Linked DNA regions of Anolis sagrei. The protein of the gene in region 1 interacts with the protein of each later gene in a pairwise test. Links are inferred from orthologs where the notes say so. Each region holds a gene or a part of one and is shown on either strand. Other genes may lie near its edges. The genes, in order: CCDC172 and FAM13C.

The links.
Region 2: the proteins of CCDC172 (region 1) and FAM13C interact in binary tests that used the Homo sapiens proteins (3 or more experiments, as listed by UniProt). The two-hybrid records come from large-scale screens. The link is inferred for Anolis sagrei from reciprocal best matches to the Homo sapiens genes CCDC172 and FAM13C.

The regions. Positions count from the first base shown.
Region 1 is NC_090023.1:204,785,372-204,801,112, reverse strand, and holds the start of CCDC172 (coiled-coil domain-containing protein 172), read left to right. Parts: upstream 1-9,470; coding exon 9,471-9,549; intron 9,550-11,454; coding exon 11,455-11,540; intron 11,541-15,741.
Region 2 is NC_090023.1:164,356,680-164,373,448, forward strand, and holds the start of FAM13C (protein FAM13C), read right to left. Parts: upstream 7,318-16,769; 5' UTR 7,025-7,317; coding exon 6,960-7,024; intron 1-6,959.

The DNA.
Region 1 (15,741 bases):
CTCCTTTGTTCTCTTCCATATCACCCTCATTACAGTTTGCCACTTTATATTAGGTGTCAATTATGGCAACAAGCAGAATGTGATGGTCGTTCGAAAATGAGCAGGAAAGGAGCAGGAAAGGGAAGATCATATCATGCTATCATATGTCTTTGTGGAAAAAAATTGTAGAGGGATGAAGATATCAGGGAATGGAAAGATGATGAAAAAATGAAAGGAGAAATGAAATTAGAAATACAAGGATAGAGGAGAGGAGGAATAGCAGAGGAGGGTACAGGCAGTGGAATGTTAAGAGACAGGAGAAACAGTGGAGGAGAGAAAGAGAGGCATACAGAAAAAGTGAGAAAGCAAAACAGAATGCATTGTGTCAATCTCAGAGGACAGTAGGTGTCTGTGTCACAGAGAAAAACTCTGAAGCAGAAGACAGAAAAGAAGACTAGAGGAAAATAGCACATTGGAGTGGAGATGGACAGCAAGAATGACACATATATTCTTCTGCTGACAAGGACAGAGAAAGGCTTTCACAAAGGTAAGGTGCATGGATAAGATAGTGAGGGAGAAGTTGAGGAAGCAAGAGTTCAAAGGAAGAAAATATAATAGGAATTGTAAGTGTTTCTGAACATACATTTAGGTAGCATGAATGAGAACCTGTTCAAATGGAAGATAATGAATCTCTGCTTAGTTTTGAGGTTGTGTTCCAATTAAAGTGTTCAGCAATCTATAATCGAGTCTCTACATTGGTGGTTTAATATTTAACTGAAATCCGGATGTATGGCTACATAACGGTACACTATCTGAACTCAAATTCAACAGTAAATTCTAAAGTATAGTGTTTATGACATAGCCTGGCCCTTCTTTGATCCGGATGCAGCAACTGATTTCAACACAGGGCCCATCCAGACAAGCCTTCAAACTGAGACCAAATGACGCCTCTGGTAAAACCAAATTAATTAGATACCCTATTAGATCTGGGCATTCCTGAAAGACCTGGGTCTAATGGGGTATTGGGCCTGTGGAGATTCACAACTGGGTAGTCCTGGGAGCAACCCACAACATTGACATCTCATATCTTTTGGGCTTCTGCAGCCCAAAGGTGTGAGATGGTACCCACTCATCCCCCAAAACCCCCAAATAACCTCTAGAAATGAAAGAAAACTTACTGGGCCACCATTACATCCTTCCTAGCGCTCTCCTGGAGCGAGGAAATGACGTGCCAGAATACTGAGAGAGGGGGGTGGAGTCAAGGAGGGATTTTCTTCTTCACCCCCATCTCCTGGCATGTAATTTCCTTGTGCCAGGAGAGCACAAAGAGGGATGTAAAAACTGAGTAGGTTTTATTTTATTTCTAGGGGTTATTTTGGGGGGCTTTGGAGTGGAACCCCCCCCCCCCCAGGAAAGCCTGGGTTTTTGAGGTGGCATGGAGACTTAAACCCACGCTGAAGCAGGTTTCTTAAACACGCTTCGGTGTGGTTCAAGGCCTGTCTGGAAGCGCCCATAGACTCATTTACATGGCCTAAAATAAAACTGAATATTCCTTTGTGGAATGTAAAACTTTAATAGCTTTATGGCAACAAAACTCCTCTCCAGTTTAGCCCTGTAGTTTGTAACCTTTGGCTCCTGTCATTCATCAGGATGCCTTCTTGCATCTAGAACACAACCTTCAAGGAATGTCTATTCTGTACAAGTGGCTGTCTAGACATGTAGAAAATGAAATCAGTAAAGATTTATTACAAAGCAAATAAAAATAAACATCTATCCTTATGACAGTTCCACACATACAGTGCACATCCACCCTTTTTCAAATGAAGAAACACATTCCTCTGAAGTCTCTCTACTTCTTAGCTCCCAAATCCAGACTGCTCCCTTTCATCTAACTAGTTCTTAAACATTTTCTGACTCTAACTCTATTCCATCCTGCTCCCATTTCTTTCTTAATGCAGTTTGACACCACTTTGACTACTATGGTGGCAGCCAGGTTATTAACTGGGGTGAGCTTTAGGGAGCATACCACACCCCTTTTAAAGCAAATCCACTGCCTCCTGACAAGTTTCCGGGCCCAATTCAAAGTGCAGGTGATTACCTATTAAACTCTATACGTTTTGGGTCCAACCTATCTTTGAGACTGCATTTCCTTCTACAAACCGGCACGGGTGTTAAGATCTGCCTGGGAGGCCCTTCTCAGTCCCACCACTCTCTCAAGTACGGTTGGTGGGAAGGAGAGAGAGGGCTTTCTTGATGGCCCTGGAATACCCTCCCTAAAAAAATTAGATTAGCCCCCTCTCTTCAGGCCTTCCAGGTGAGTCTAAAACATGGCTCTTCAAACAGGCCTTTGATCCTGAGTAATCCATGGTCAACATGATGAATCATTGATAGTACTGCCTTGCACTTTGATTGTTATGTTGGGTAGTCAGATTACCTGCAGGTTCTACTGCATTTTAGGTAAACTGCCTTGAGTCGCCTCCGGGCTGAGAGGGGCTGTATACAAGTATAGTAAATAAACAAACAAACAAACAGCTCTGCCCACTTTAAAACAAACAAGCTTCATGTGTAGTTTGGCTGCCACTCAGCTAATCTGGGTGTCCTTTGCTCTGTGTGACAGACTGAGGCTTGATCTACACTGCCGCTCTGAGTCCCCTTCGCAAATAAATAGAATAGAATAGAATCAAAATTATCAAAGTAGATAATGCAAATTATCTACTTTGAACTGAGTCTATACTACTATTCAAAGCAGATAATCTGGATTTTATATGGCGGTGTAGATGGGGGCCTGTGTTAAGCTCCTGTCGAAAGAATCTGTCCAGGAATTAGAAATCATGCATGTGCTTCTTATATCACATGTATGGAAATAATGCTTCCATACCTAAAAACTTCACACCACAAAATCCAGACCCCTTACGTTTGTGAACTTCAGTGCATTTCAGTACATATTCAGCTCCTTGTCTTTCAAGGAAAATTGAGATTGTAAGAAAGGGACAAAGTGAAAACAAGAGAAATGTTTAGGGGTACAGTCAATTGACAAATGTTTTCACAAACTCAGACATCTCTCTCAAACTCAGAACAGGAGGATGTTATCTCATGGAAACCATTTTTTGAACTTCATTCAGATAAGGGTTTTAGCATAGCCATTTACTTTAAATTTAAATGGCAATTTAACATAGAGACAGTAGTTAATCTCCCCCCTTCTAACATAAATGCATTTGAAATGAGATGTCTTAGCATATTACCATTTATGTTAATGCCTCTCAACTAACTTTCCTATCTGTGTATAAAATAATACGTATAGGATAGATTCACATGATAAATCAAGCCAATGCATCATCATTTTGCTATATAGTTAATTTATTATGGTTGGCAGTAAGCAGCTAATGGTTTGTTCCCTTCCAGCACACAAAAGAATGATGCACAGAACAAGCCCTTGTTTGTTGGATCTTGGGAGAGAAAGGAAACCATCTATTACCAGATGAGATGATAAACCAACCACAGCGCAAACTCCATGGCCCCATTCACACTGCTAAATAAAATCCAGATTTTCTGTTTTGAAGTGGATTATATGGCAATATATACTAAAGCCCCTTCTACATTGCCATATAATCCAGACTATCAAATCAGATAATCCACATTATCTGCTTTGAACTGGAGTATATGAGTCCAAACTGGCAGATAATCCAGTTCAAATCAGACAATCTGGATTTTATATGGCAGTGTAGAAGGGGTTTCAAATAATTCAGTTCAAAACAGGTAATATGGATTATTTTATTTGATAATCTAGATTATATGGCAGTGTAGATCCAACCTGATAGAAGACTCTTTCACACTAACACAGGCCCCTTCCACACAGCTGCATATAATCCACATTGAAGTGGATTATATGGTTTTGTGGACTCAGATAATCCAGTTCAAAGCAGGTATTGTGGATTATCTGCCTTGATATTCTGGGATATATGGCTGCGTGGAAAGGCCTACAGTCATATCATTATATGCTTTCACCTTAACTACCATGGAAACATCCTATAAAATCCTCATATTAGCAATTCACAGTCCCTTGCCAGAGTGATTCAACAAACTCCCAGAATTCTGTGGGTTCATCTACACTGCAGAATTAATGCAATTTGATACCAGTTTCAGTGCCATGGCTTAATGCTGTGAAATTTTCAAACGACAACTCCCAGAATCCCATAGCATTGCGCCATGGCAGTTAAAGTGGTGTCGAACTGTATTAATTATGCAAAATGCATACATTCTACAATGTAAGTGCACTCTGTGTCTAATTAAAATCAACAGGATTAAAGTTATGTACCATATCTCATTGATTTCAGTGGATCATCAGCCACAGATATTTAGTAAGCATTTAGAAGCAAAGGAGCTACGGATGGATGGGAACTTCTCAAGAGTGAAATACTCAAGGCGCAATTGCAAACCGTGCCAACAAAGAGAAAAAATAGGACAAGTGCAAAGAGGCCAGAATGGATGTCCAAAGAACTTCTAACTGTGCTAAGACACAAAAGAGACATGCACAAGAAGTGGAAAAAGGGAGAAATCACCAAAGAAGAATTCAAACAAATAGCCAACACCTGTAGGGAAAAGGTCCGCAAGGCTAAAGCAAAAAACGAGCTCAGACTTGCCAGGGACATTAAAAACAATAAAAAGGGCTTCTATTCTTATGTCAGTAGAAAAAGGAAAAACAAGGAGGCGATAGGACCTCTTCGAGGAGAAGATGGGGCAATGCTGACAGGGGATAGGGAAAAGGCAGAACTACTTAATGCCTTCTTTGCCTCGGTCTTCTCACAAAAAGAGAGTCTTCAACCTCAGCAAGATGGAGTGGATGAGGGATTGGAGGACATCCAACCCCAAATTGGGAAAGAAGTCGTCCAGGAATACCTGGCCGCTCTTAATGAGTTCAAGTCCCCAGGGCCAGATCAACTACACCCAAGAGTACTGAAGGAACTAGCGGAAGTCATTTCGGAACCATTGGCAACCATCTTTGAGAGTTCTTGGAGAACGGGAGAAGTTCCAGCAGATTGGAGGAGGGCCAATGTGGTCCCAATCTTCAAGAAGGGAAAAAAGGATGACCCAAACAACTACCGTCCGGTCAGCCTCACGTCGATACCGGGCAAGATTCTGGAAAAGATTGTTAAGGAAGCGGTCTGCAAACACTTAGAAACAAATGCAGTCATCGCTAATAGTCAACATGGATTTATCAAAAACAAGTCATGCCAGACTAATCTGATCTCTTTCTTCGATAGAGCTACAAGCTGGGTAGATGCGGGGAATGCCGTGGATGTAGCGTACCTGGATTTCAGTAAGGCCTTCGACAAGGTCCCCCATGACCTTCTGGCAAGGAAACTAGTCCAATGTGGGCTAGGCAAAACTACGGTGAGGTGGATCTGTAATTGGTTAAGTGGACGAACACAGAGAGTGCTCACTAATGCTTCCTCTTCATCTTGGAAAGAAGTGACGAGCGGAGTGCCGCAGGGTTCCGTCCTGGGCCCGGTCCTGTTCAACATCTTTATTAATGACTTAGATGAAGGGCTAGAAGGCATGATCATCAAGTTTGCAGACGACACCAAATTGGGAGGGATAGCCAATAGTCCAGAGGACAGGAGCAGAATTCAAAACGATCTTGACAGATTAGAGAGATGGGCCAAAACTAACAAAATGAAGTTCAACAGTGACAAATGCAAGATACTCCACTTTGGCAGAAAAAATGAGATGCAAAGATACAGAATGGGGGACGCCTGGCTCGAGAGCAGTACGTGTGAAAAAGATCTTGGAGTCCTCGTGGACAACAAGTTAAACATGAGCCAACAATGTGATGTGGCGGCAAAAAAAGCCAATGGGATTTTGGCCTGCATCAATAGGAGCATAGTGTCTAGATCTAAGGAAGTAATGCTACCCCTCTATTCTGCTTTGGTTAGACCACATCTGGAATATTGTGTCCAATTCTGGGCACCACAATTCAAGAGAGATATTGACAAGCTGGAAAGTGTCCAGAGGAGGGCGACTAAAATGATCAAGGGTCTGGAGAACAAGCCCTATGAGGAGCGGCTTAGGGAACTGGGCATGTTTAGCCTGAAGAAGAGAAGGCTGAGAGGAGATATGATAGCCATGTATAAATATGTGAGAGGAAGCCACAGGGAGGAGGGAGCAAGCTTGTTTTCTGCTTCCTTGGAGACTAGGACACGGAACAATGGCTTCAAACTACAAGAAAGGAGATTCCATCTGAACATTAGGAAGAACTTCCTGACTGTGAGAGCCGTTCAGCAGTGGAACTCTCTGCCCCGGAGTGTGGTGGAGGCTCCTTCCTTGGAAGCTTTTAAGCAGAGGCTGGATGGCCATCTGTCAGGGGTGATTTGAATGCAATATTCCTGCTTCTTGGCAGGGGGTTGGACTGGATGGCCCATGAGGTCTCTTCCAACTCTTTGATTCTATGATTCTATGATTCTATGATTCTATGATTCTACAATAAATAAATAAACAAACATACTGTACCTTCTGTTGAAGATGATGTTCACTCTTGAGACAAAAAGGATGCTTGCTGCCACCTGCAGTTGGTAGAAATATTGGTGTTTAAAATATGTTTTTATTGTTAATACATTTATTTACATCCTACCTTTCCCCCAAAACGGATTTGAGATGGGTCAAATACATATAAAAGCAGAGAATACACACAACCATATTACCCAGAATATCATGAGATAACCCAAAATATCTGCTTCAACTGAGTCCACACTGCCATATAATCCAGTTCAATGTGGATTTTATACAGCTTTGTAGAAGGGGCTTGTGCATAATCCAGATTATCAAGGCAAATAATCCAGATTATCCGATTTGAATTGGATGAGTCTACACTGCCATATAATCCAGTTCAAAGCAGATCATTTGGATTATATATGTCAGTGTAGAAGGGGCCTTAGATTGCAATTCTATACACCCTTCCATAGGATTATGCCCTATTGAACTCAGCAAGGCCAATTTTGGACCAGAATTGGGATTTTTAGGGTGCATAGCATATACACTGTAGAATTAATTCAGTTTGGCACCCATTTAATTGCCATGGTGCAGTGCTATGGAATTTTGAGATTTGTAGTTTGGTGAGGCATCAGCACTCTTTGGCAGAGAAAGTCCAAGACCTTGTAAAACTACAATTCCCATGTTTCTATAGCATTATGTCATGGTAGTTAAAGGGGTAGCATTAATTCTACAATGTAGATCAGACAAGGGCAAACTTGGGCCCTCCAAGTGTTTTGGACTTCAACTCTCATAATTCCTAACAGCCTCAGGCCCTTTCCTTTTCCCTCAGGCCCCTTCCTTTTTCCCCTAGAATCATAGAATCATAGAATCAAAGAGTTGGAAGAGACCACATGGGCCATCCAGTCCAACCCCCTGCCAAGAAGCAGGAATATTGCATTCAAATCACCCCTGACAAATGGCCATCCAGCCTCTGCTTAAAAGCTTCCAAAGAAGGAGCCTCCACCACACTCCCGGGGCAGAGAGTTCCACTGCTGAACGGCTCTCACAGTCAGGAAGTTCTTCCTAATGTTCAGATGGAATCTCCTCTCTTGTAGTTTGAAGCCATTGTTCCGCGTCCTAGTCTCCAAGGAAGCAGAAAACAAGCTTGCTCCCTCCTCCCTGTGGCTTCCTCTCACATATTTATACATGGCTATCATATCTCCTCTCAGCCTTCTCTTCTTCAGGCTAAACATGCCCAGTTCCCTAAGCCGCTCCTCATAGGGCTTGTTCTCCAGACCCTTGATCATTTTAGTCGCCCTCCTCTGGACACATTCCAGCTTGTCTATATCTCTCTTGAATTGTGGTGCCCAGAATTGGACACAATATTCCAGATGTGGTCTAACCAAAGCAGAATAGAGGGGTAGCATTACTTCCTTAGATCTAGACACTATGCTCCTATTGATGCAGGCCAAAATCCCATTGGCTTTTTTTGCCGCCACATCACATTGTTGGCTCATGTTTAACTTGTTGTCCACGAGGACTCCAAGATCTTTTTCACACGTACTGCTCTCGAGCCAGGCGTCACCCATTCTGTATCTTTGCATTTCATTTTTTCTGCCAAAGTGGAGTATCTTGCATTTGTCACTGTTGAACTTCATTTTGTTAGTTTTGGCCCATCTCTCCAATCTGTCAAGATCGTTTTGAATTCTGCTCCTGTCCTCTGGACTATTGGCTATCCCTCCCAATTTGGTGTCGTCTGCAAACTTGATGATCATGCCTTCTAGCCCTTCATCTAAGTCATTAATAAAGATGTTGAACAGGACCGGGCCCAGGACGGAACCCTGCGGCACTCCACTTGTCACTTCTTTCCAAGATGAAGAGGAAGCATTAGTGAGCACTCTCTGTGTTCGTCCACTTAACCAATTACAGATCCACCTCACTGTAGTTTTGCCTAGCCCACATTGGACTAGTTTCCTTGCCAGAAGGTCATGGGGGACCTTGTCGAAGGCCTTACTGAAATCCAGGTACACTACATCCACGGCATTCCCCGCATCTACCCAGCTTGTAGCTCTATCGAAGAAAGAGATCAGATTAGTCTGGCATGACTTGTTTTTGATAAATCCATGTTGACTATTAGCGATGACTGCATTTGTTTCTAAGTGTTTGCAGACCGCTTCCTTAACAATCTTTTCCAGAATCTTGCCCGGTATCGACGTGAGGCTGACCGGACGGGGGCTTAAGCGGCTGAGGGGGAAAAGGAAGGGGCCTGAGGGAAAAGGAAAGGGCCTGAGGCTGTTAGGAATTGTGGAAGTTGAAGCCCAAAACACCTGGAGGGGCCAAGTTTGCCCAGGCCTGGTGCAGATGCACCCTCAGTGCCAATTTTGTATTTCATCCCTAATATTCAAATAGCCTTCATCCACTTGGCACCTCCTAGATGTGCTGGGCTACAACTCCCATCACCGCAGAAAGTTATGTTTGGGGATGGTAGGAATTGTAGTCCAACACATCTGGAAACTTCAATCTTGGAAAAGCCTGCAGTATTCCTCAAGAGTGTGCAATAAATGGTTCATGCCGAACTGTACCATTTCAAGTTGTGGGTGAAGAAACCATAACTTTTGTATTATTGCCCTCCTAAAAAGCTCCCTGTATGCAATAGATTACTCCATAGTAGAGAGAGAGTAGATTAAATCTATTTCTTCCAATTTCTAGTTTAATAAGTGTCACATATTTTAATTTATTTACAAGGGGCATATAATAGGATCCCCCCTAGAGTCCAAAATGGTTCTGTCCAAATTCCTCTCAGTTTGGTTTACTGACAGAAATTGTGTGAGGAGGGGATGGTTCAGTTGAGAGAAACAGGGCAACTTTTGGAGTAACCTGGGCCCATTTTCCTTCTTTATATTAGGATACACACACACACATATACATATACACACTTACATACACAGATATATACATATATGGTATTTACACACACACACACACACATATAGATATATTCTCCAAGGACAGTCAGAGGAAAAATGAGCCTGGACTCCTTGTTTCAGCAAATCCTCCTGACAGAACAAAAGGCAGGGGAGAAACGGCGCCTCTTGCAACAAGGTTGGCCGCCATCTTCTGTCATTTTAGGCTTGGATGTCTAACTAAAGAGGCCTGTCATTAGCCATTTTAAAATAAAGCTAATTCATTTCTCCAGTCGTGCTGAGTTTGGGGGTTGTTTTGTTTCCCAGTACTGCACCACCCATTGCTAAATAGGCAGCTTAAAATGGAATGTAAACCTTACTCATCTGCACAACACTGTTTGCATTTAGGAAATCTATATAAATAAAAATGTAATGTTCGTTTGTGGGATTAACAGAACTCAAAAACCACTGGACAAATTGACACCAAATTTGGTCACAAGACACTTAACAACCCAATTTATGTCCTTCACTTAAAAAAATGATTTTTTTCAGTTGGGAGTTGTAGTTGCAGGGAATTATAGTTCACCTACAATCAAAGAGCATTCTGCACTCCACCAATGATGGAATTGAACCAAACTTGGCACACACTTCTCCCATGAGCAGTAGAAAATACTGGAAGGGTTTAGTGGACAGTGTTCTTTGGTTTTGGAGTTGTAGTTCACCTACATCCAGAGATCACTTTGGACTCAAACAACGATGGATCTGGACCAAACTCTACACAAATATTCAATATGCGCAAATGTGAACATTGGTGGAGTTTGGGGAAAATAGAATTTTGACATTTGGGAGTTGTAGTTGCTGGGATTTATAGTTTTCCTACAATCACAAAGCATTCTGAACCCCACCAACGATAGAATTGGCTCAAACCTCTCACACAGAACCCCCATGCGGGCCACAGCAACATGTGGCAGGGGACGGCTAGTCAATAATAATAATAATAATAACAACAACAACAACAATAATACCAACATTGAGGGAAGTCAATAGTAGTAAACTGCTTCAAGTGCAAAAGACAAAGAGTGAATACCATAAAAACACAATCCAGAGCAATAGAGAAAACTGTCAAAAGAAGTCTCTCCATGGACAGTTCCTGGGAAAAATTGAGAGCCAAATTGACAAAGGAAAAACATGGAAGTGGCTCACAAATAAAACTTTGAAAAAAAGGAGATGGAGGGCCTGATTCCGGCAGCCCAAGAACAAGTCATTAGAACCAATGCCATCAAAGCCAGAATTGAAAAGTCAACGACAGATCCCAAATGTAGACTCTGCAAGGAAGCAGATGAAACAATAGATCACATCCTCAGCTGCTGCAAGAAGATCACGCAAACAGACTACAAGCAGAGGCATAACACCGTTGTTCAGATGATTTATTGGAACCTGTGCCATCTGCCTGCGACAAAGAACTGGTGGGATCACAAGCCAGAAAAAGTTACAGAAAATGAACACGTCAAACTCCTCTGGAACTTCCAAATTCAAACAGACAAGAGTTCTGGTTTCTGGGTTATAAATGTCATTTCCTAATTGGTTCTGTCATACAAACATGGAAAAGCTTATTAAACTGCAAAAACCTGGCTTTCTCAGGACATCCTGAAGCACATTTTGCTATAGTTTTTCAATGAACATCTCATAGAGTTTCAACCAATTCAATGCAGTTTGTGATAGCCACAAAAATGATGTTTCTGGAGTATATCAACTAATTTTAAAATAAGAACTGCACAATTAAACAGGAAATAACACTTTCAAACTAGGAACAAAATTTGTTTCAAATTTTGTTACACAGTGTTATGAATGTACAAACATGTACTTATAGTGTGGACTGGATAGTCTTTCAGTCAAAGTGACTGCAGAAAGAAAACCTGGAACATGGGACCTGAAGGGGCCTGAAGGCAAACTAAAAGAGTTGCAGTTAATACATTTGTAACCATTGTGCAATCCTTTCAAACAAAGTTTTTCCGAGTGATGAAATTAATCATACAAATATTGAAGTGAAGGTATGAAATAGACAACTTAAACCCTCATAACGTAGACTTCTTTTTTGTTTCAGTTAAACAAAAAATTACACAAGGACATGAAAAAGCTAAAATATTAAGGGAACAACTGGATGAAGCAAAAATAAAACTTGAAGAAGAGGTAGGACAATACCATGGTTATTACATCAGATTAATTGACTTGGTTGAAATAACAAAGCTCATATACGTTAGTATACTGTGTGTCCATATGAGCTGTGCTTTCCAATATGTATTCCTCATTTGCTGGTCCATTTCAGGCAGAAAGTTCTTTCTTGGAATTTCTGAAGTACAACTAATATTTTAGAAAGTTTGTATTATTATTTTTTATTTAAAAATCTGTATTTTGTGCAGAGCATTGAGCATACACAGATTATTGAAGTTCTCCATTCATGTTCTATTTACACTGCCGTAAAAATAAAATTCTTCACATCAAGAACTGCATTAATACAATAACATAGAAAACATAGCGAGGAATCCACAATCTTAATGTGAATAAACCTCCCCCTCTTTTTCCATAAAAGCTATGTAATCGTTTGGGTCCCATTAGCTTATTTTGTGAGGAAGTGTTGTCTGGGCAAGTACTTTTAATAAGCCCTATAAAACTAGCATAGAAAAATGATCAGATACTTTCCCGATCTGGGGGGGGGGGGGGGGGGGGGGTAATAGTTTCTGAACAAATTTTTGACAAACTTCAGACAATTTGCCCATGCCTCAATTCAACGAACAACTTGCCTTAATGTAACATTTCTGCTTTCTCTCTGGTTTTTCTTGTTTTGAAAATGTTGTTCTTTGGTTCTTGGAGCAACATGTCTTATCTCATTTGTCTAAGGGTGCATTTACACATGCCACATAATCCAAGATAGTTAGGAGTTCTTCTGACCTTCGTGGTCATCTCTTGTGGCAATGAAAGAATGATATGGGCCAGAGTCATCACATTTTGTGAGTGTACCTGGACTAGGAAAAAGGAAATGGCAGTGTTTGCCTATACAGACAGCAGACTGGCTTGATTTAGAGATGGTTCTGTCCAAACTAACCCTGAAGTGTGGGATTACTCTGGAATTTTAAGAAATTTCGGCCCAAGAAATTTTTGCGTCACCCCAAGAACACTGGTAAATAATATAGGTATAAAAACCAAACATTTACTGATAACAAATCAACATTCAAGGCTTGCTAAACAGGCTTATTTTTCTGTTTTGAATGAAGTATAGCTGAAGCATCTTCTGCAGAGTCTACTGTAAACCCTGCACAACAGATTCATGTAAATGTCTAAGGACCTTATCAGTTGGCCCACTGTAAAGTGGGGGACAGTGGGGGAAATCATGGGGTAGCGTAGAGAACTGCCTCGCTGTGTTCCCTACTGTTGAGACTTGGTGCCCACCAAACCCCTAGTATCTATGTTTTAATCAGAAGTTATAGGCATGGAAATTAAAATGCCATATCTTTAATTTGGAGAGCAAAATCATTGGGTGAGCAACAGAAAAAAATAGTGCCACGCAGCTGAGAAGTAACTTAACCTTTTTATAGTAGACGTTTCTAACATTTCTAAACATGTGCATGCAAGCCTTTCCCCCCATTCACATCTGTCTTGGCTTCCTTTGTCCTTTTCTCGGTACTTCTTATCCACAACATTTCCCCCTCTCTTCCCCCATTCCTGTACTCCCTTTCCCTTCTCTCTAGGTCATAAAGTCCTCCTCTTGAACCTTTTCCCCACTTTCATTTCCTGCTGTGCTGCTCTTTTGGCTAGCAGAGAATTTCTTCTTTCTTTTCAACTTCTCAAATTCTCCCCTCCCTTCTTAACCTTATTTGGTTTTGTTAGCAAATTTCATCCTCTTCACTACCATTGGGGTCCATGGTACCCCTTCCCACTATGTTTCCCCACTGTCCCCTGCTTCCTTTTTGGCTCCTCTGCTGGCATGGAGCCCCACGTGATGTGATGGTCTCCTGGGGAACTCCATACTGGCAGTGGAAAGAAGCAGGCAGAAGGCACTTCTCTCTCTGCATGTGATGAGGTAATTAAACAGCCACTAGATGACTTTCAGAAAATGTTTACTATGGCCAAAAATTTGAGACCCCAACATTGAGCTAAGGAAATACCATTTGGGGTCAGGACCCACAGTTTAGGAAGCAGTGGTATAGACAAACCTAAGTTCTATTTAGAAACTTTATTTTTCAAGCAAGCCACTGTCTAATGTAAAAGGAAGGTTGACTTCATAAAGAAATACATAATTTACAGAACTTTTCAAAAGTATTTGTTGTGTCAGCTTGACACCCTGCTCATTTCCTGACCTCAGACATAGTGGTAGGTCCAGGTCACAGAACAACAATCGCATTGTCTTTAGTTCATTGTGTTACTACTTGTAAAACTAATTTGTGACAATCATAATTTTATTCCTTTGCTGCTATTTTGCAATTGACTCACTCTAATTAACAGTTTCAGTAGCTATATAGGGTCATGAATGTGTGGGAATAATTACTGTGAGTTACTAATAGGGAGAGGTAGAAAAGCATTTCTAAACCAATTATGGTCTTAAAACTACATAATTAATTACCTGAAGGTCAATGCCTATTAACTTCCATGTTTGGTTAGTCTCAATTTATTTTTCTGAAGACTTTGCACTTTGCAAGCTTGGGAAAAACCAATATGTATTACCTGCACAATAAATACTCAGTGTTGTTAAAATTATTACCACTTACTACTATGTGTTTAGTACAGAAACATATAAGCTGTTCACTTTAATGACCTATAGTATATATGTTGTGACTGATTTCCAGTACATCCTATATGCCTTTTTCAAATTCCTCTATAAACTTTGCTCTACATTTTCATGTGTTCCTTGCAATCCCACATCTGTAAACACAGGGGCATCGAAAAGAGGAAAAATAAGCTATGTATTTGAGTTCAAAGAGCTTTTCACATCTATTTCACAGAGACTAGTTGTGGTCAATGAAATGCACCCAGGAAATATAAATGTTGGCGTGTTCCAAAAAACCTAGGCACCATATAATTAGAACTTGAATTATAGCATTTTGCCTTTCAAGGTTCAAGTTTCCCTCTTTTAAAAAATGCTGTTCTAAAGGATATATTGGGCTTAGGGCAGAATCCTATACTGACTGTTTGCTTAGACAGCATAAACTCCAATAATCTTTGGGCAGCATATTTCAACAATTTCTGTGATGATATCAGTGATGGTAATCTCTTCCTTGGCAGAAAGGATAGCTTACATCAGTCAAGGTGCAGAGTATTTCCTTTCCTTTTTAACCACCCTGTCTATTTTCAAGGCTCCCAAAATTAAGCTCTTCCTGGGTGTCAGCAAGGTCAGTCATTTTGCATGCAAGAGTTTTGGAAAGTTCAGACAAGTTGCTGGCTTTCCATCTCCGAAGCCCCTTCTTAATCTCAGGCACATATAAATTGCCCTGAACAAACTCCATGGTATCTCTACTTGCTGAGCAACAGAAAAGAAGCTCAATTGTCTGGGGACAGATAATATTCGCATTTCTTCATGACAGCTTTTTTGTGCTTAGCACAAAGGAGTGGCATTCATATTTCCTGCAAAAGATATTCATGAAAGTGAGTGGTAGTTCAACCAACAATTGATAGGACTCTACCTGCTTTAGTATACTTGCTGTTTGCATTTTAAAGAGGGGCATTTAGAGAATCAAGCCTCTCTGTTGATATTATTTTTGTTGTCATTATTCATGGACAATCACATGTGGCCAGATACTATTGTCTTCAAGAGGTAGATTCTTGGTGGTGGATCTATATGTGACTATGAAGGTCTATGGTCAACATTTTCTAGCCTTAACCATTAAGATTGGTTTGTGCCTGCTAGTAGAACACTTTTCTTGATGTTAAGTGAAAGGCCAAGATGTTCACATGCTTCTGTGAAGGTTGCCCTTATTATTGTGATTCTTGATTCTGTTTATACCCTTACTTCCTTCATAAGAGACTTGTAACATCATTTTAGCCCCATCGACACTACCGTATAATCCAGTTTCTGAATCCATATTAGTTGCTTTGAACCAGATTATACAGCAGTGTAGATGATTTATTTATTTATTTATTTATTTATTTATTTACAGTTTTTATATTCCGCCCTTCTCACCCCGCAGGGGACTCAGGGCGGATTACAGTATACACATATATGGCAAACATTCAATGCCAGTTTGACAGACAACGAATACAGACAATACACAGAGGCTATTTAACTTTTTTCTGGCCGCCAGGGGAGCTGCTGCTTTCATCGTCCATGTTACACGTCTCTTATGTAAGGCCACATCTACACTGCTATATTATCCAATTTCTGAATCCAGATTATCTGCTT
Region 2 (16,769 bases), about 40 Mb from region 1:
CAGTGTATTAAAGTTTGTCACCCCCTGATAATTCTAGAACACACAATTGCCTAATGAAAATTAATCAGCAGGAAAGTCGGGATAGATAAAAGGAAGCATTTCTTTATATAACACAGAATTAATTTATGGAATCCACTGCCACAAGATGAGCCACTAACTGCTAGTCTAGGGAATTATGCAAATCATTTTATAATAGTAAAGAAGAAAGTGAATCACCACACTTACACAATCATGAAATTTAGACATCTAAAATATGGTGTATATAGTAGGAAGATTCAGGCAGTATTAAATAGCCTAACCATGCCTAGTGTGTAGCATAGGGAAGGGTTAACAAGGGTTAACAACCCTGTGGTAGGGCTGGGCAACCACGAAAAATTTGTTTCTAAACTCGATTCGTTTTTTGGGGTTTTTTGCGTTTCGATATTTAAAAGAATTCCGATTTTTTTCTTTACAAAAATTACGAAACAATACGAAACGAATACGAAACGAATACGAATCGATTCGTTAATGGCGGATGCGACCGCGCAATACACTAAAAAACCTCCATATGGGACAGGGGGAACTTCTGAAGCTTCCCCCTCCCTCTGTTGTTGACTGTTGGTGTGATATTTATAAAAAAATTTCACTGATTAAACAAACAACAGCTATAAAACTTGCCCCGGACATGCGAAAATAATAACGAAACGATTTCGAAATGATTTCGAAACGAATACGAAACGAATACGAAGCAATTACGAAACGAATTGAAAAATTCGTTTCATTTTTTAGATGCTCCTGAATGGTTCGTTATCGCTTTGTAACCAAAAAAATTACGAATTTTTAACGAATTACGAAATTACGAAACGAAACCGCCCAGCCCTACCCTGTGGTGTTTATGTTGCCATCTCCGCCCCTATTCAGAAGATTACCTTGTTGTAGAAACAAGAACCGATGATAAGACTTCAGTGGAGACACCTTTCCCCCATGATAGCTCTTTCAGAAATGAATTTCCCATCCTAGGAGTTGATTTCTCTCACTTTCTGTTGTCTCACCCCTGTAAATTTGACTTTTGTAACTCTGTGCCTGTACACAAATCAGCAAAGCTGTGATCAAAGGACACATATGAACTGACTATATCATTCCTTCAAACTATAGCAACTACAAAAACTCACACCACCAAAGGGAGGAACACAAAAGGACCAGAACAGTAGAGTTAGGCCTTCATTAAGGGCAGGGGGAAAGTGGGAAAGTACCATGCCTTCCTCAGACTCTTCCCTATATCTTGCATAGACATAGCTAACAAGGGCACTGCAAAAATGACTTATGTAAGGAGCAGTAATTGAGTTGAACACTTTTAGAGTAATCCTAGGCTTGGAGTACAGCAGGGATGTCAAACTCATTTTCACTGAGGGCAACCTCAGCCTTATGGTTGCCTTTAAGGGGCCATTGAATCCATGCATGGAGAATCCATGGATATGGATAGTCAACTATCATTGTTTTGCATAGTGGTTGGTGCTCTTTTGTTTTTACCCAGCTTGGGTCCCCAGATGTTACTGAACAACAACTCCTATCACTTTTGATTATCCGCCATGCAAACAGGTAATGATGGGAATGACAACCAAACAGCATTTGTGTGTCTGTGGTTGGGGAGAGGTTAAAAGGCATTTTAAAGTCTGACATCATATCCACAAGCCTTGTATCTCAATTAAAACCACACTCTTCTAACTAAAATTAACAAACTGCAGCCTTCCAGGTGTAACTGTATCACTTATCAGCTCTAATCATGATATCTAATGATGAGGAATATAGTAGCTGTAGTCGAGCATCTGGAGGGTCACATGAAATTATATTACGGGCCAGATTTGGCCCATGGGTCTTGGCACATGTGGTGTAGAGGGTAATCTACAAAACACACGGCATGTTGAATGATCATATTATCACAATTTTTAGTTTGGGAGGGAAATTCTAATAATTTCAACCTTAAAACATTTAAAGTCAACACATGTGCAGGGAAAATAAGAAACACTGTAGGGACATACATTGTCACACATACCGAATATTTTGGATTTATTTACTTGCTTTGTGGGAAGATACTACTTTGAAAGCTAAATGATACACTATGTTAGGCAAAGATGAAAGGCAAAGATACAGAATGGGGGACACGTGGCTAAAGAGCAGTATGTGTGAAAAAGACCTTGTGGTCCTCGTGGACAGAAAGTTAAACATGACTCAACAATGTGATGCAGCGGCAAAAAGCCAATGGGATTTTGGCCTGCATCAATAGGAGCATAGTGTCTAGATCTAAGGAAGTAATGCTACCCCTCTATTCCGCCTTGGTTAGACCACATCTGGAATATTGTGTCCAATTCTGGGCACCACAATTGAAGAGAGATATTGACAAGCTGGAATGTGTCCAGAGGAGAGCAACTAAAATGATCAGGGGTCTGGAGAACAAGCCCTATGAGGAGCGGCTTAAAGAGCTGGGCATGTTTAGCCTGAAGAAGAGGAGGCTTAGAGGAGACATGATAACCATATCCAATACATGAGAGGAAGTCATAGGGAGGAGGGAGCAAGCTTATTTTCTGCTGCCCTGGAGACTAGGATGTGGAACAATGTTCGGCAGTGGAAGTCTCTGCCCCGGAGAATGGTAGAGGCTACTTCTTTGGAAGCTTTTAAACAGAGGCTGGATGGCCATCTGTTGGGGGTGCTTTGAATGCAATTTTCCTTGGCGGGGGTTGGATTGGATGGCCCATGAGGTCTCTTCCAACTCTATGATTCTGTGATTCTATGTAGGCCGCATTCCAGCAGTGGCCATAAGAATGAAAATCCTCTTCATTTATTTATTTTATTTATTTTATTTCCACTCCTTTCTACAGAGCTAATCAGTCTCACCCCTTCTGGTACTAGTGTTGGAGAGTGGTCCCTGGTCAAAGTGGGCACCAGTCAAAACAAGGTTGAGAACCACTGCTTTAAACATGAGGAAGAACTTCCTGACTGTGAGAGCCGTTCAGCAGTGGAACTCTCTGCCCCGGAGTGTGGTGGAGGCTCCTTCTTTGGAAGCTTTTAAACAGAGGCTGGATGGCCATCTGTCAGGGGTGATTTGAATGCAATATTCCTGCTTCTTGGCAGGGGGTTGGACTGGATGGCCCATGAGGTCTCTTCCAACTCTTTGATTCTATGATTCTATGATTCTATTATTATTATTATTATTATTATTATTATTATTATTATTATTACTTCAGGTATGATGGTGATAAATCCTACCATTCTGGCAATGGAAAATGCACTTGTCTCATAAACAAATGCATAAACAGCTTTCCTTTCTGCTGATCTCAGTGAAACCTTGTATTTTCTAGTTCCAAAAACATAACAGCTTGAAAAGGGGGTGGGGGACTAGACCACAATGTTTCATGTGGCATAAATACTGTTAAGAATCACAAACACCACCAATAGACTCAGGAGAAAATATTACACCTGAAGAGAAAGCAAGAGCACTACATTGTGTGTAGACAATAATGTGTTTGTGTGTATCTCTATCTCAATAAAATATAGGTAGTTGTGTACACGTTCAATATGCGCTATCCAGAACGCCAAAAATAATTGTTCACATGGATGGCTGTGATAGTGAAACCTTTCTGGTGGTTTGGTGAATACAAACTGTGTTTCATGTGCAGCATCATCTTACAATGTTGTGCCGTAAAATATATTTCTATGGTGTCTGTGAAACATAAATGACTTTGGGTTGTTGTAGGTTTTTCAGGCTATAGGGCCATGTTCTAGAAGCATTCTCTTCTGACGTTTTGCCTGCATCTATGGCAAGCATCCTCAGAGATTGTGAGACCTCATAACAACCCAGTGATTCCATCCATGAAAGGCTTCGACAATACATAAATGACTTGTGAGGTCTTACAACTTCTGAGGATGCTTGCCACAGATGCAGGTGAAACGTCAGGAGAGAATGCTTCTAGAACATGGCCCTATAACCCGAAAAAACCTACAACAACCCAGTGATTCCATCCATGAAAGCCTTCGACAATACATAAATGACTTGTGAGGTCTCACAACTTCTGAGGATGCTTGCCACAGATGCAGGCGAAACGTCAGGAGAGAATGCTTCTAGAACAGCGTTTCTCAACATGGGGGTTGGGACCCCGGGGGGGGGGGGGTTCTGTGTGGGAAGGTAGGCCTAATTCTATCTTTGATGTGGTTCACAATGCTCTTTGATTGTAGGTGAACTATCAATACCGACAACTACAACCCCCAAATGTCAAGGTCTATTTTCCCCAAACTCCACCAGTGTCCACATTTGGGAATATTGAGTATCCATGCCAAGTTTGGTCCAGATCCATCCTAGCTTGACCCTTCTAGTGTTTTCTGTTGGTCAGGGGTGTCCTGTGTGCCAATTTTGGTTCAATTCCATCGTTGGTGGGTTTCAGAATGCTCTTTGATTATAGGTGAACTATAAATCCCAACAACTACAACTCCCAAATGACAAAATCCTAATTTTTCAAGTGATGGTCATTCCTTGTGTTGTGAAACATTTTGTTGCCAAATTTGGTGTGATTTTGTTCATTGGTTCTTTTATTTTTAAGGTACTCATTATGCACAGAGCATTTATATATATATAGATATAGATATAGACAGGGGCGGCTCATCCATTACGCGAAGTAAGCGGTCGCAGAACACTTTTTTTTGCCAGGGGCGCAGAGGTGCCTCAGTAAATGCCCCTCAACCGCCACTTGAGGAGCGCCCCCTCAGCTCGCAACAGCCCTAGCAGTCCAGGGGGAGCCTCAGCTTATTGCCTCGCTGCCGGGCGATCCTCTTCCCAAAGGGGCCGGGCCCTTGAGCCTCGCCTAGCCCCTCTCGTTCCTGCTCCACCCGGCCACCGGGTGCGCGAGCAGAGCCGGCGCTCAATCGTTCTCCGCGTTCGATCCCTTCCCCATGACCGGCTCCCTTTCCCGATCCCCCGGCGCTCCACCCGCCTCCTCTCCTCTCCCCAATCCGCGGGTGTGCCAAGGGGCGGAGCGGCCGCGCCTGGCCCACTTTGGGTCCGGAGGCGTGTCTGAAGACCCCAGCGTGCGCACCAAAAGTTGCCTCTTCTCCTGACTTTCTCTTCAGCCATTAGGACCAAGAGAGAGAGAGAGAGAGAGCCCCTCCGGCTGGAGGTATCTCCCACCTCCGCTCTCTCCTTTGTTTTTGCGCCTACCTTCAGGGAAGGTGGGCATCTCCACCTCTCTCTCTCTCTCTCTTGGTCCCAATGGCTGAGGAGAAAGTCAGGAGAAGAGGTGACTTTTGGTGCACACGCCGGGGTCTTCAGGCACGCCTCTGGACCCAAAGCAGGCCAGGCAATGGAGCAAGTGCGGCAAGTGTAGTTACTAGGATGTATAGTTCACCTACAATCAAAGAGCGTTCTGAACTCCACCAATGATGGAATTGAACCAAATATGGCACACAGAACTTCCACGACAAACAGAAAAAATATATATCAGTGATTGGTTGGGGGGGGGGGGTGCGCCAAAATACTGTTTGCTTACTGTTGAAAATTACCTATATAGATATATAGATATAGATCAGTGGTTCTCAACCTTGCTAATGCCGTGACCCCTTAATGCAGTTCCATATGTTGTGGTGACACCCAACCATGATATTGTTTTTGTTGCTATTTGATACCTGTCATTTTACTACTTTATAAATCGTTATGTAAATATCCGATATGCAGGATGTATTTTCATTCACTGGACTAAATTGAGCAGAAAAACCAAATATGCCCAAATCTGAATGCTAATGGGGTTGGGGGAGGATTGATCTTGTAATTTGGGAGTTGTGGTTGCTGGGATTTATAGTTCACCTATAATCAAAGAGCATTCTGAACTCCACCAATGATGGAATTGAACCAAACTTGGCACACAGAACTCCCATGACGATTAGAAAACACTGGAAGGGTTTTGTGGCCACTGACCTTGAGATTGGGAGTTGTAGTTCACCTATATCCAGAGGAGTGCTGTGGATTCATGCAATGATGGATCTGGACCAAATTTGGCATGAATACTCAATATGCCCAAATGTGAACACCGGTGGAGTCTGGGGAAAATAGGCCTTGATTTTTGGGAATTGTAGTTATTGGGATTTATAGTTCACCTACAATCAAACAGCATTCTGAACTCGACCAACAATAGAATTGGGTCAAACTTCCCACACAGAATCCCAATGACCAACAGAAAATACTATGTTTTCTGATGGTCTTTGGCGACCCGTTTGACACCCCCTCACGACCCCCTCAGAGGTCCCGACCCCCCGGTTGAGAAACACTGATATATATCAATGATTGGTTGGGGGGGGGGGCGCCAAAAAATACTGTTTGCTTACTGTTGAAAATTACCTATATAGATGTATAGATATAGATATTCAAGCATGTCTCGCTCCCTTCCCTGCCACGAACACACTCTGTCCACTCATGTAACCAAACCCAGTGGCTATCGAAAAGATCATGCACATACTGAAGCCTTGTACACTGGATATGTTTGTGGGGTTTTTTTTCCGATGGGTATTGTGAGTTCTTCCCTCCTGCTGGCATGATGGCTGGCAGGCTCTTAAAAAAGCCTGGCACCCTCCTTACTCACTGCCATGCCTCCTTAATGGCATTTCAAGGCTGGTGTGTGTGTTTTCCCCCTCATTGGTTCCAAGAAGATGCCCTCAAATGTCATCTCAAGGTGCAAAGCCATGCAAGTGAATGTAAAGGAGGCATTTCAGAGAGATAGAAAGACAGAGAGAGAGAGGTTGCAGGCATTGTGTGCCAATTCAGGCAGGTTGATCATTCAGGGAAGGTATAATGGTTGGCTATTGGGAAGGAAGGAAGGAAGGAAGGAAGGAAGGAAGGAAGGAAGGAAGGAAGGGAGAGAGGCTTGTCTGCCTTTCTTTCCCTGCCCAGCCCCCAGCAGAAGCCCCTGGTTGCGCTTGGAGCGAGCAAAGCAGGCACTTACTCGGGCAAAGCAGCCGGGCTGTTGAAGGAATGGTTCTGGAGGCTGAAGCAGAAGCAAGAAAACATCGGAGGCAGATCAGCAGGGCTGGCGGGCGGGCGGGCGAGGTCTCGCTGGGTGCTCGCTCTTCACGGCATGGCAAGGGGAGCGGGGATGGCAAAGGGAGGAGGAGGAGGAGGGGAGGCGGCAGGCAAGGCAGGGATGCGCGGCTCCTCGGAACCCTGGCCTCTTCTGCACATGCTCGCCGCCCAAGGAACCCCCGGGGAGGCAAGGCTGGCCTCCGAACCACAACGCCCATCAGGCATTGCTCCCGCTTTGGCTCCGGCCTTGGATGCTGATGCTCTTCCTGCACGAGCCCAACTCCAAAGCAGGGAGGGAGAAGAGCACTCCAGGCCAGACACACCAAGGGCTGGGTGGGAGCAAGCCTGTCGCCCGATGTATTTATTGCTTCTTCTTCTTCCTTTTGTGTTAATTCTTTATATTGGGGCCAGATTATCCAACCTAATTCTCTTCTTTGGCAAGAAACCCATAAAGGTGTCTTTGTTATAGAATCTACTAGCTGAACCCGCCACGCGTTGCTGTGGCCAACCTTCCCTCCCTCTTTCTCTCCTCCCTTCCCTCTTTCCTTCCTTTCCTCGTTTTCTTTCCCTATCTCTCTTCTTTCTTCCATCTCTACCTGTTTCTTTCCTCCTTTTCTTTGCTCTTTGGTTACATACTTCCTTCCTTCCCAGAGGCGGCCCTAGGTAATTTTCAACGGTAAGCAAACAGTATTTTGGCGCCCGCCCTGCCCCCCCAACCAATCATTGATATATATTTTCTGTTTGTCGTGGGAGTTCGGTGTGCCATATTTGGTTCAATTCCATCATTGGTGGAGTTCAGAATGCTCTTTGATTGTAGGTGAACTATACATCCCAGTAACTACACTTGCCGCACTTGCTCCCTTGCCTGGCGCGCTTTGGGTCCGGAGGTGTGCCTGAAGACCCCGGTGTGTGCACCAAAAGTCACCTCTTCTCCTGACTTTCTCCTCAGCCATTGGGATCAAGAGAGAGAGAGAGAGAGAGAGAGAGAGGTGGAGATGCCCACCTTTCCTGAAGGTAGGCGCAAAAACAAAGGAGGGAGCGGAGGTGGGAGATACCTCCAGCCGGAGGGGCTCTCTCTCTCTCTCTCTTGGTCCCAATGGCTGAAGAGATAGTCAGGAGAAGAGGCGATTTTTGGTGCGCACGCTGGGGTCTTCAGACACGCCTCTGGACCCGAAGCGGGCCAGGAACGGCGGCTCCGCCCTTTGGCCCACCCGCGGATCGGGGAGAGGAGAGGAGGCGGGTGGAGCGACGGGGGATTGGGAAAGGGAGCCGGTCATGGGGAAGGGATCGAACGCGGAGAACGATTGAGCGCCGGCTCTGCTCGCGCACCCGGTGGCCGGGTGGAGCAGGAACGAGAGGGGCGAGGCGAGGCTCAAGGGCCCGGCCCCTTTGGGAAGAGGATCGCCCGGGAGCGAGGCAACAAAACCAAGGCTCCCCCCGGACTGCTAGGGCTGTTGTGAGCTGAGGGGGCGCTCCTCAAGAGGAGGTCGAGGGGCATTTACAGAGGCGCCTCTGCGCCCCTGGCAAAAAAAAAGTGTTCTGCGACCGCTTACTTCGCGTAATGGACGAGCCGCCCCTGTTCCTTCCCTATCTCGGGAAGGTGGATCTGGCCAGGGTGGTCCATGCCTTAGTCACCTCTAGATTGGACTACTGTAATGCGCGCTACGTGGGGCTGCCCTTGAAAACGGCCCAGAAATTCCAACTGGTTCAACGGGGGGTGGCCAGGTTAACTGGTGCTCCTTACAGAGAGAGGTCAACCCAGGCATGTAGCCAGGGGGGGGGGCTCGGGGGGCTTCAGCCCCCCCCCCAAATTTTCATGGTGGTTCGCGAAAAGGCCTTACTGGTGCATTATTTAAACTGTTATGTTTATTCATATCATGATCTGATCACCATACTTAATATATCCCATATGCATGGGGGTATTGGGGTAATGATACAAAAGGTTTGCTAGGCTAGACCCTCTTTCACTCAGACTCAGCCCCCCCCCGAAACGCAGCCCCCCCGAAACCCCCCCTGAAAAAAAATCAGCCCCCCCCCCGAAACGAAATCCTGGCTACGGGCCTGGGTCAACCCTCCTGTTTAAGAAGCACCATTGGCTGCCATTCATTTTCCAGTCCCAATTCAAGGTGCAGGTGCTTACCTACAAAGCCCTAAACAGTTTGGGACCCGCCTACCTTCGTGACCGCATCTCCATATATGAACCCACACGATCTCTCAGATCATCTGGAGAGGCCCTACTCACGATCCCACCTGCATCACAGGCGCAATTGGTGGGGACCAGGGATAGGGCCTTCTCTGTGGTGGCCCCCCACCTCTGCAACTCTCTCCCCAAGGACATCAGACAAGCCCCAACATTGGCAGTCTTTAGGAGGAGCTTGAAGACATGGTTGTTCCAGTGTGCCTTCCCAGAATAGGAAACTCCAAGCATCATATCCCTAAATGCACTTTACTAGAGATTTACAATTGTCTGCACATTGCACCTATCTCCAAAAACCTATCTATTTCACCTGCCATGCCCAGCATTTTAAAAAAATTTAATCATTACATTGGCCCGGCTTTGGTTTTTAAATGTGTCGTGGTATTATTGTCTATTGTTATTTGCTATTGTTTTAATGTTTATTACTGTTTTGTGAGGTTTTTTTTGTTGTATTTGTGATGCTGCTGTTTTTGTGATGTTTGGGCCTCGGCCTCTTGTAAGCTGCACCAAGTCCTTCGGAAGATGTTAGCGGGGTACAAACAAATGATGATGATGATGATGATGATGATTATCTTTCGTTCCTTCTCTCCTTTCTTCCCTCTCTTTTTCCTTTCACTTTTTATTTCCTTCTCTCCTTCCTTGCTTCTCTATATTTTTTTCTTTCCTTCTTTCCCTCCCTCCTTCTCTCCTTCCTTCCTTTCCTCTTTCCCTCCTTCTCTCGTTACTTCTTTTTTATTTATTTATTTATAATCTTTATTCAGTTTTCAAATACAGTTAAAAAAAATAAAAACTTTGTAGCGAAGGCTACTAGTAAAAGAGATATAGGGTATGTGTATATATCAGTTCCCCGAAATATGAAATGATATAGTGACCAAAAGATAATAGACAAGAGAGACAGGAGAAATAGAGAGATAGCAGGGGAGGGAAGAGAGGAGAAGTGTAGCCCAAAAGCCCCATATAAGACAATAATAACAAGAAAAAAAAAAGGTTTCTTGCTTTCGACTTCCCGAGGTTTTCATAGGGTCCTCTTTGTCGTTCATCCAAACCTCCTCCTCTTCTCCTTCCCTTTCTTCTCTCCTTGTCTTCTTTCTCCTCTTCTTCCTTTCCTCCAACTCTTCTTCAATTATATCAGGATTTTTTTGTTCCTTTGCTTAAAATAACCCGTCACTTTTTCCCAGTTTGTTTCCTTCATTTTTATTCCTTTACTTCTTGTTATCAAAAATGTAAGCCAGTCCATATTTCTTACTTCCAAGATTTTTGTGAGTCTCTCATTTTCGTCTGGCGTATCTTCCTGCTTCCATCTTCTAGCATAAGTTATCCTATCCTTCTCTCATTACTTCTTGACTGTCCCTTCCATTTAATATTGTATTTATATCTTACATAGAAAGAAGGAAAGGAAGAAGGAAGGAGGGACATGAAGGAAGGAAAAAGGAAGGGAGGGAGGGAAAGAAGGGAAGGAAGGAAAAGAAAGAAGGAGGGACAGGGAGGGAGGAGAAGGAAGGACGAAGGAAGGAAGGAGGGAAAGAAAGGAGGGGAATGAAGAAAGGAGGGAAGGAAATGAAGGGGAAGGAAATGAAGAAAGGGAAAGAAGAAAGAGAGGGAGGGAGGAAAAGAAGGAAAGGAAGAAGGAAGGAGGGACAGGAAGGAAGGGAAGGAGGGAAAGAAGGAAAGGAAGGAGAAGGAAAGAAGAAAAGGAAAGAAAGGGAGGAAAGAAGGGAAGGGAGGGAGAGAAGGAAGGTCCTTCATTCAAGCACCGTGGCCAAGTCTGGTTTCTCAAGGCACATCATCCCCTCAACCCAAACAAGTAAAGGATAAAGCACATTGCATAAACATATTACATAAACATATAAAATAAGCATAATAAATAATGACATTTATCACCATTAAAAATCCCCGGGCCTCAGGCCACTGAGGTTGTCCTTAAAACATTATGCTAAAAAATCTTGAAGCTCTGAATCTTTGGCTGTGTAAACCTTGCCAAACCAAGATAGCTTTAGTGTTGAGTCTTGGCAATAATCACTAGTTGCCTAGTCATAGCTTAATATCGGTTGCTGGTGAAGGCCTCCTTCTAAGATTTCAACCCAAATGGTTCAGCAGATTTCCCTGGTGAACCTACTCATTTCATGTACAAGGTGCACTCTGTAAGTACAGTGTAGTGTTTGAAGGATAAGTTGGGGGTAAAGGTGGTCATCAGAAGCTTGGTGCATTGGTTGCTAAACCATTTGTGCAATGGAAAAATGCATTCGAAGTCTTCAATAGCCACCAAAAACGGAGTACCATCAGAACAACTTGTGCTTGGCTGAAAACTTCTTGCTAATTCACAGTGGAAAACATCTTGATGATAAAGGTAATAAGAAGAAAGCAGAAGAAAACAGAAATAAAACTTCTGCCAATTGTGGAAATTATTGTCCTTTGTGGCCCACAAGAACTGGCTTAAAGAGGGAACAATGATTCAGGACCAGTTACCAGAGGAGGGCGACTAAAATGATCAAGGGTAAGAGAAGCAATGAGAAAGGGGGCTTGTGGAAGCTTCATTAAGACCAGTTGTTTGGCCTCTTTGCCCCATTCCTCAAAGACAAAAAGGCAGGGGAACAAGAAGAGGCCAGTTCTCCACACACATCACCTTTAGCAGGGCAGCAGTTTGCTAAACTTGAGATTTTGGAGGAAGAGGAGGAAAGTCTAGAAGGCATGATCATCAAGTTTGCAGATGACACCAAATTGGGAGGGATAGCCAATAGTCCAGAGGACAGGAGCAGAATTCAAAACGATCTTGACAGATTAGAGAGATGGGCCAAAACTAACAAAATGAAGTTCAACAGTGACAAATGCAAGATACTCCACTTTGGCAGAAAAAATGAAATGCAAAGATACAGAATGGGGGATGCCTGGCTTGAGAGCAGTACGTGTGAAAAAGATCTTGGAGTCCTCGTGGACAACAAGTTAAACATGAGCCAACAATGTGATGTGGCAGCAAAAAAAGCCAATGGGATTTTGGCCTGCATCAAGAGGAGCATAGTGTCTGGATCTAAGGAAGTAATGCTACCCCTCTATTCTGCTTTGGTTAGACCACATCTGGAATACTGTGTCCAATTCTGGGCACCACAATTCAAGAGAGATATTGACAAGCTGGAATGTGTCCAGAGGAGGGCAACTAAAATGATCAAGGGTCTGGAGAACAAGCCCTATGAGGAGCGGCTTAGGGAACTGGGCATGTTTAGCCTGAAGAAGAGAAGGCTGAGAGGAGATATGATAGCCATGTATAAATATGTGAGAGGAAGCCACAGGGAGGAGGGAGCAAGCTTGTTTTCTGCTTCCTTGGAGACTAGGACGCGGAACAATGGCTTCAAACTACAAGAGAGGAGATTCCATCTAAACATGAGGAAGAACTTCCTGACTGTGAGAGCCGTTCAGCAGTGGAACTCTCTGCCCCGGAGTGTGATGGAGGCTCCTTCTTTGGAAGCTTTTAAGCAGAGGCTGGATGGCCATTTGTCAGGGGTGATTTGAATGCAATATTCCTGCTTCTTGGCAGGGGGTTGGACTGGATGGCCCATGAGGTCTCTTCCAACTCTTTGATTCTATGATTCTATGAAATTGAGGAAATTTGTGCTACTTGATGAACCTTTCCAAATGGGATAATCACCATAAAGACCTGTATGCTTTTCACTCTGATTAATCCGTCCTAAATGGTCACTGATGAAGTCCTCTCCATGTTTTTTACACTTCTGTTAAATTTCACATCCCACCCACTCACTTCTTATTGTATATAAATGCATTTAAAGAAGTGGGCTGCAGTTCACAAAATCGTGTGTCCGTTAAAAACACTGTTGTCGTTAAGGTGCCACACGTGTCTTTCTTCAACTCGTTCACCCAGAAAAGAGGGGTCAAAATTGTAATATTGTTGAACTCCAAATCCCAGCATTCCCAATTATTTATTTATTTATTTGCCACACTTTTATCCCGCCCTTTTTATCCCAACTCAGGGCGGTATACAGACTGGCAACAATTAGATGCCGAACATGCATAAATACATCATTTAAAACAGGTTAAATCACATAATAAAATTCATATTAAAACAATTTAAAACTATTATAGCTATGCTGGCTGGAGTGATGGGAGACTACAGAGCCTTGGAGGCACTGTACACCAAAGCATGACAGTGGGACATTCAGGTTTTCTTCTAATACTTTAAAGAAGCTATCCAAAGTGCTGAATCCTAATGCCCAAATAGGTTCACCAGACTGGTTAGCTGCTATTCAATCCCCTCCTGATATGGGATCCACCGCCCATCACTGGTCAAGAGGACAGAGATTTCCTTCCATCTCTTAACAAATAAGCCATTGGTTTATATTTATATTACAACTAGAATTCAACTGTGGAGGAATTAAATTCTTGCACTGCTCCTTAAGGTGGTTTGATTCATATGATTGTTGAAAAACAAGGCTGCACAGCCTGGGACAGTGATTTTCATGCATAAGATCTTTATACAAAATTGCACTGTGTGTCCAGTAATCGTGTTCCCTGAATCTACAATTTGGTGATGGATCTGGGCATTGTATGTTTTTACCCTGTTTCCCCTTCTGCTCCCTCACCCATATTGTGTTTTTAGTAGTTGTATTTATATTTTTAATGTACCAAACATGCCAGGTTTGTATGGAAATGTGACACTATTTCCTGTGCTGGTCAATGACCGAAATAAATGTTTTGATTTGATATACAAAATTGCAGTATTTGTTTGTTTGTTAGTTTGTTTTCTTCCATAAAACAAGAACTGTGTTTTTTTAAAAAAAAAAAAGAGAAAAATTTTGTCCTTTTCTTTTGACATCCATGTGATCCATCAAACAGGGGGAAATTCTCAAATAAAAATGTTTCTTCCATGTTGCTATAGAATCAAAGAGTTGGAAGAGACCTCATGGGCCATCCAGTCCAACCCCCTGCCAAGAAGCAGGAATATTACATTCAAATCACCCCTGACAGATGGCCATCCAGCCCCTGTTTAAAAGCTTCCAAAGAAGGAGCCTCCACCACACTCCGGGACAGAGAGTTCCACTGCTGAACAGCTCTCACAGTCAGGAAGTTCTTCCTCATGTTCAGATGGAATCTCCCCTCTTGTAGTTTGAAGCCATTGTTTTGTGTCCTAGTCTCCCGGGAAGCAGAAAACAAGCTTGCTCCCTCCTCCCTGTGGCTTCCTCTCACATATTTATACATGGCTATCATATCTCCTCTCAGCCTTCTCTTTTTCAGGCTAAACATGCCCAGCTTCTTAAGCCGCTCCTCATAGGGCTTGTTCTCCAGACCCTTGATAATTTTAATCACCCTCCTGTGGACACATTCCAGCTTGTCAATATCTCTCTTTAATTGTGGTGCCCAGAATTGGACACAATATTCCAGGTGTGGTCTAACCAAAGCAGCATAGAGGGGTAGCATTACTTCCCTAGATCTAGACACTATGCTCCTCTTGATGCAGGCCAAAATCCCATTGGCTTTTTTTGCCGCCACATCACATTGTTGGCTCATGTTTAACTTGTTGTCCATGGGGACTCCAAGATCTTTTTCACACGTACTGCTCTCGAGCCAGGCATTGTCCCCCATTCTGTATCTTTGCATTTCGTTATTCCTGCCAAAGTGGAGTATCTTGCATTTGTCACTGTTGAACTTCATTTTGTCAGTTTTGGCCCATCTCTCTAATCTGTCAAGATCGTTTTGAATCCTGCTCCTGTCCTCTGGAGTATTGGCTATCCTTCCCAATTTGGTGTCGTCTGCATTTAGCCCTTCATTTAAGTCAGTGTTTCTCAACCTTCCTAATGCCACGACCCCTTAATACACTTCCTCATGTTGTGGTGACCCCCAACCAAAAAATTAGTTTCACTGCTACTTCATAACTCTCATTTTGCTCCTGTTATGAATCGTAATATAAATATCTGATATGCAGGATGTATTTTATTCACTGGACCAAATTTGGAACAAATACCCAATACACCCAAATTTGAATACTGGTTGGATTGGGGGAGGGTACTGATTTTGTCCTGTGGGAGTTGTAGTTGCTGAGATTTATAGTTCACCTACAATCAAACAGCATTCTGAACTCCACCAACGATGGAATTGAATCAAACTTGGCACCCAGAACTCCCATGACCAACAGAAAATACTGGAAGGGTTTGGTGGGCACTGGCCTTGAGTTTTGGGAGTTGTAGTTCATCTACATCAAGAGAGCACTGTGGACTCAAACAATGTTGGACCTGGACCAAACTTGGCATGAATTCTCAATATGCCCAAATATGAACACTGGTGGAGTTTGGGGAAAATAGACTTTGACATTTGGGAGTTGTAGTTGCTGGGATTTATAGTTCACCTATAATCAAAGAGCATTCTGAACTCTACCAACTATTGAATTGGGCCAAACTTCCCACACAGAACCCCCATGACCAACAGAAAATACTGTGTTTTCTGGTGGTCTTTGGTGACCCCTCTGACACCCCCCTCATGACCCCTCTAGGGGTCCCGACTCCCAGGTTGAGAAACACTGATCTAAGTCATTAATAAAGATGTTGAACAGGACCGGGCCCAGGACGGAACCCTGCAGCACTCCACTTGCCACTTCTTTCCAGGATGAAGAGGAAGTATTGGTGAGCACCCTCTGGGTTGGTCCATTTAACCAACTACAGATCCACCTCGCCGTAGTTGTGCCTAGCCCACATTGAACTAGTTTTCTTGCCAAAAGGTCATGGGGGACCTTGTCAAAGGCTTTACTGAAATCCAGGTATGCTACATCCATGGCATTCCCCGCATCTATCCAGCTTGTAACTCTATTGAAACTTTTTTGTGTGTGTGGATTGTACTTGTTATACAAGTTCTCAGATTTCATGCTAAATTGATCTAAATGCCTGATAGAAATACAATATGAGATTGCCACTACGCCTATAATATCTCCTTACTGCACATCTGTTGAACTGCTACAATTCAGCAAAGTGACACATGGCAATGTTGCAATGACCCAAGGAACAACAGCACTTCCTTCCCTTGATATCAGCTAAACTTGATTGGTTGTATAGCACAACAATGTCACCTCATCCCATACAGCTTTCCTGATAGGTTGGGATCATTTAGAGAAAACAAAAGCCTGAAAACCCTATCCCAGAACACAGTTGTGGCACTATCATTACGATGAAATCCTGAGATTGGTAGTGTGGTCAGCAACTGGAGCTCTGCGGCTGAGAATGCTAAATGACCCTCCCTAAAACTGCACATCTGGGATTCCATAAGAAGTTGTCATTCAGTTAAAGTGGGATTGTGCCATTTTAATTGTGTAGTGTGAAAAGACCCCAGGGAAATGTATATGGCAGCCTAGCACCAATAAAAGGGATAACTATAGGCTTTAGATTACTGGCAATAATAGAAATTTATTTATTTATTTATTTATTTATTATTTATTTGCTATGCTTGTATACCGCTGTTTCTCAGCCTAGCCGGCGACTCAACGTGGTTTACAACAAAATATAACAATCAACAGTATACAATTTAAAATCATAAAAGCATAAT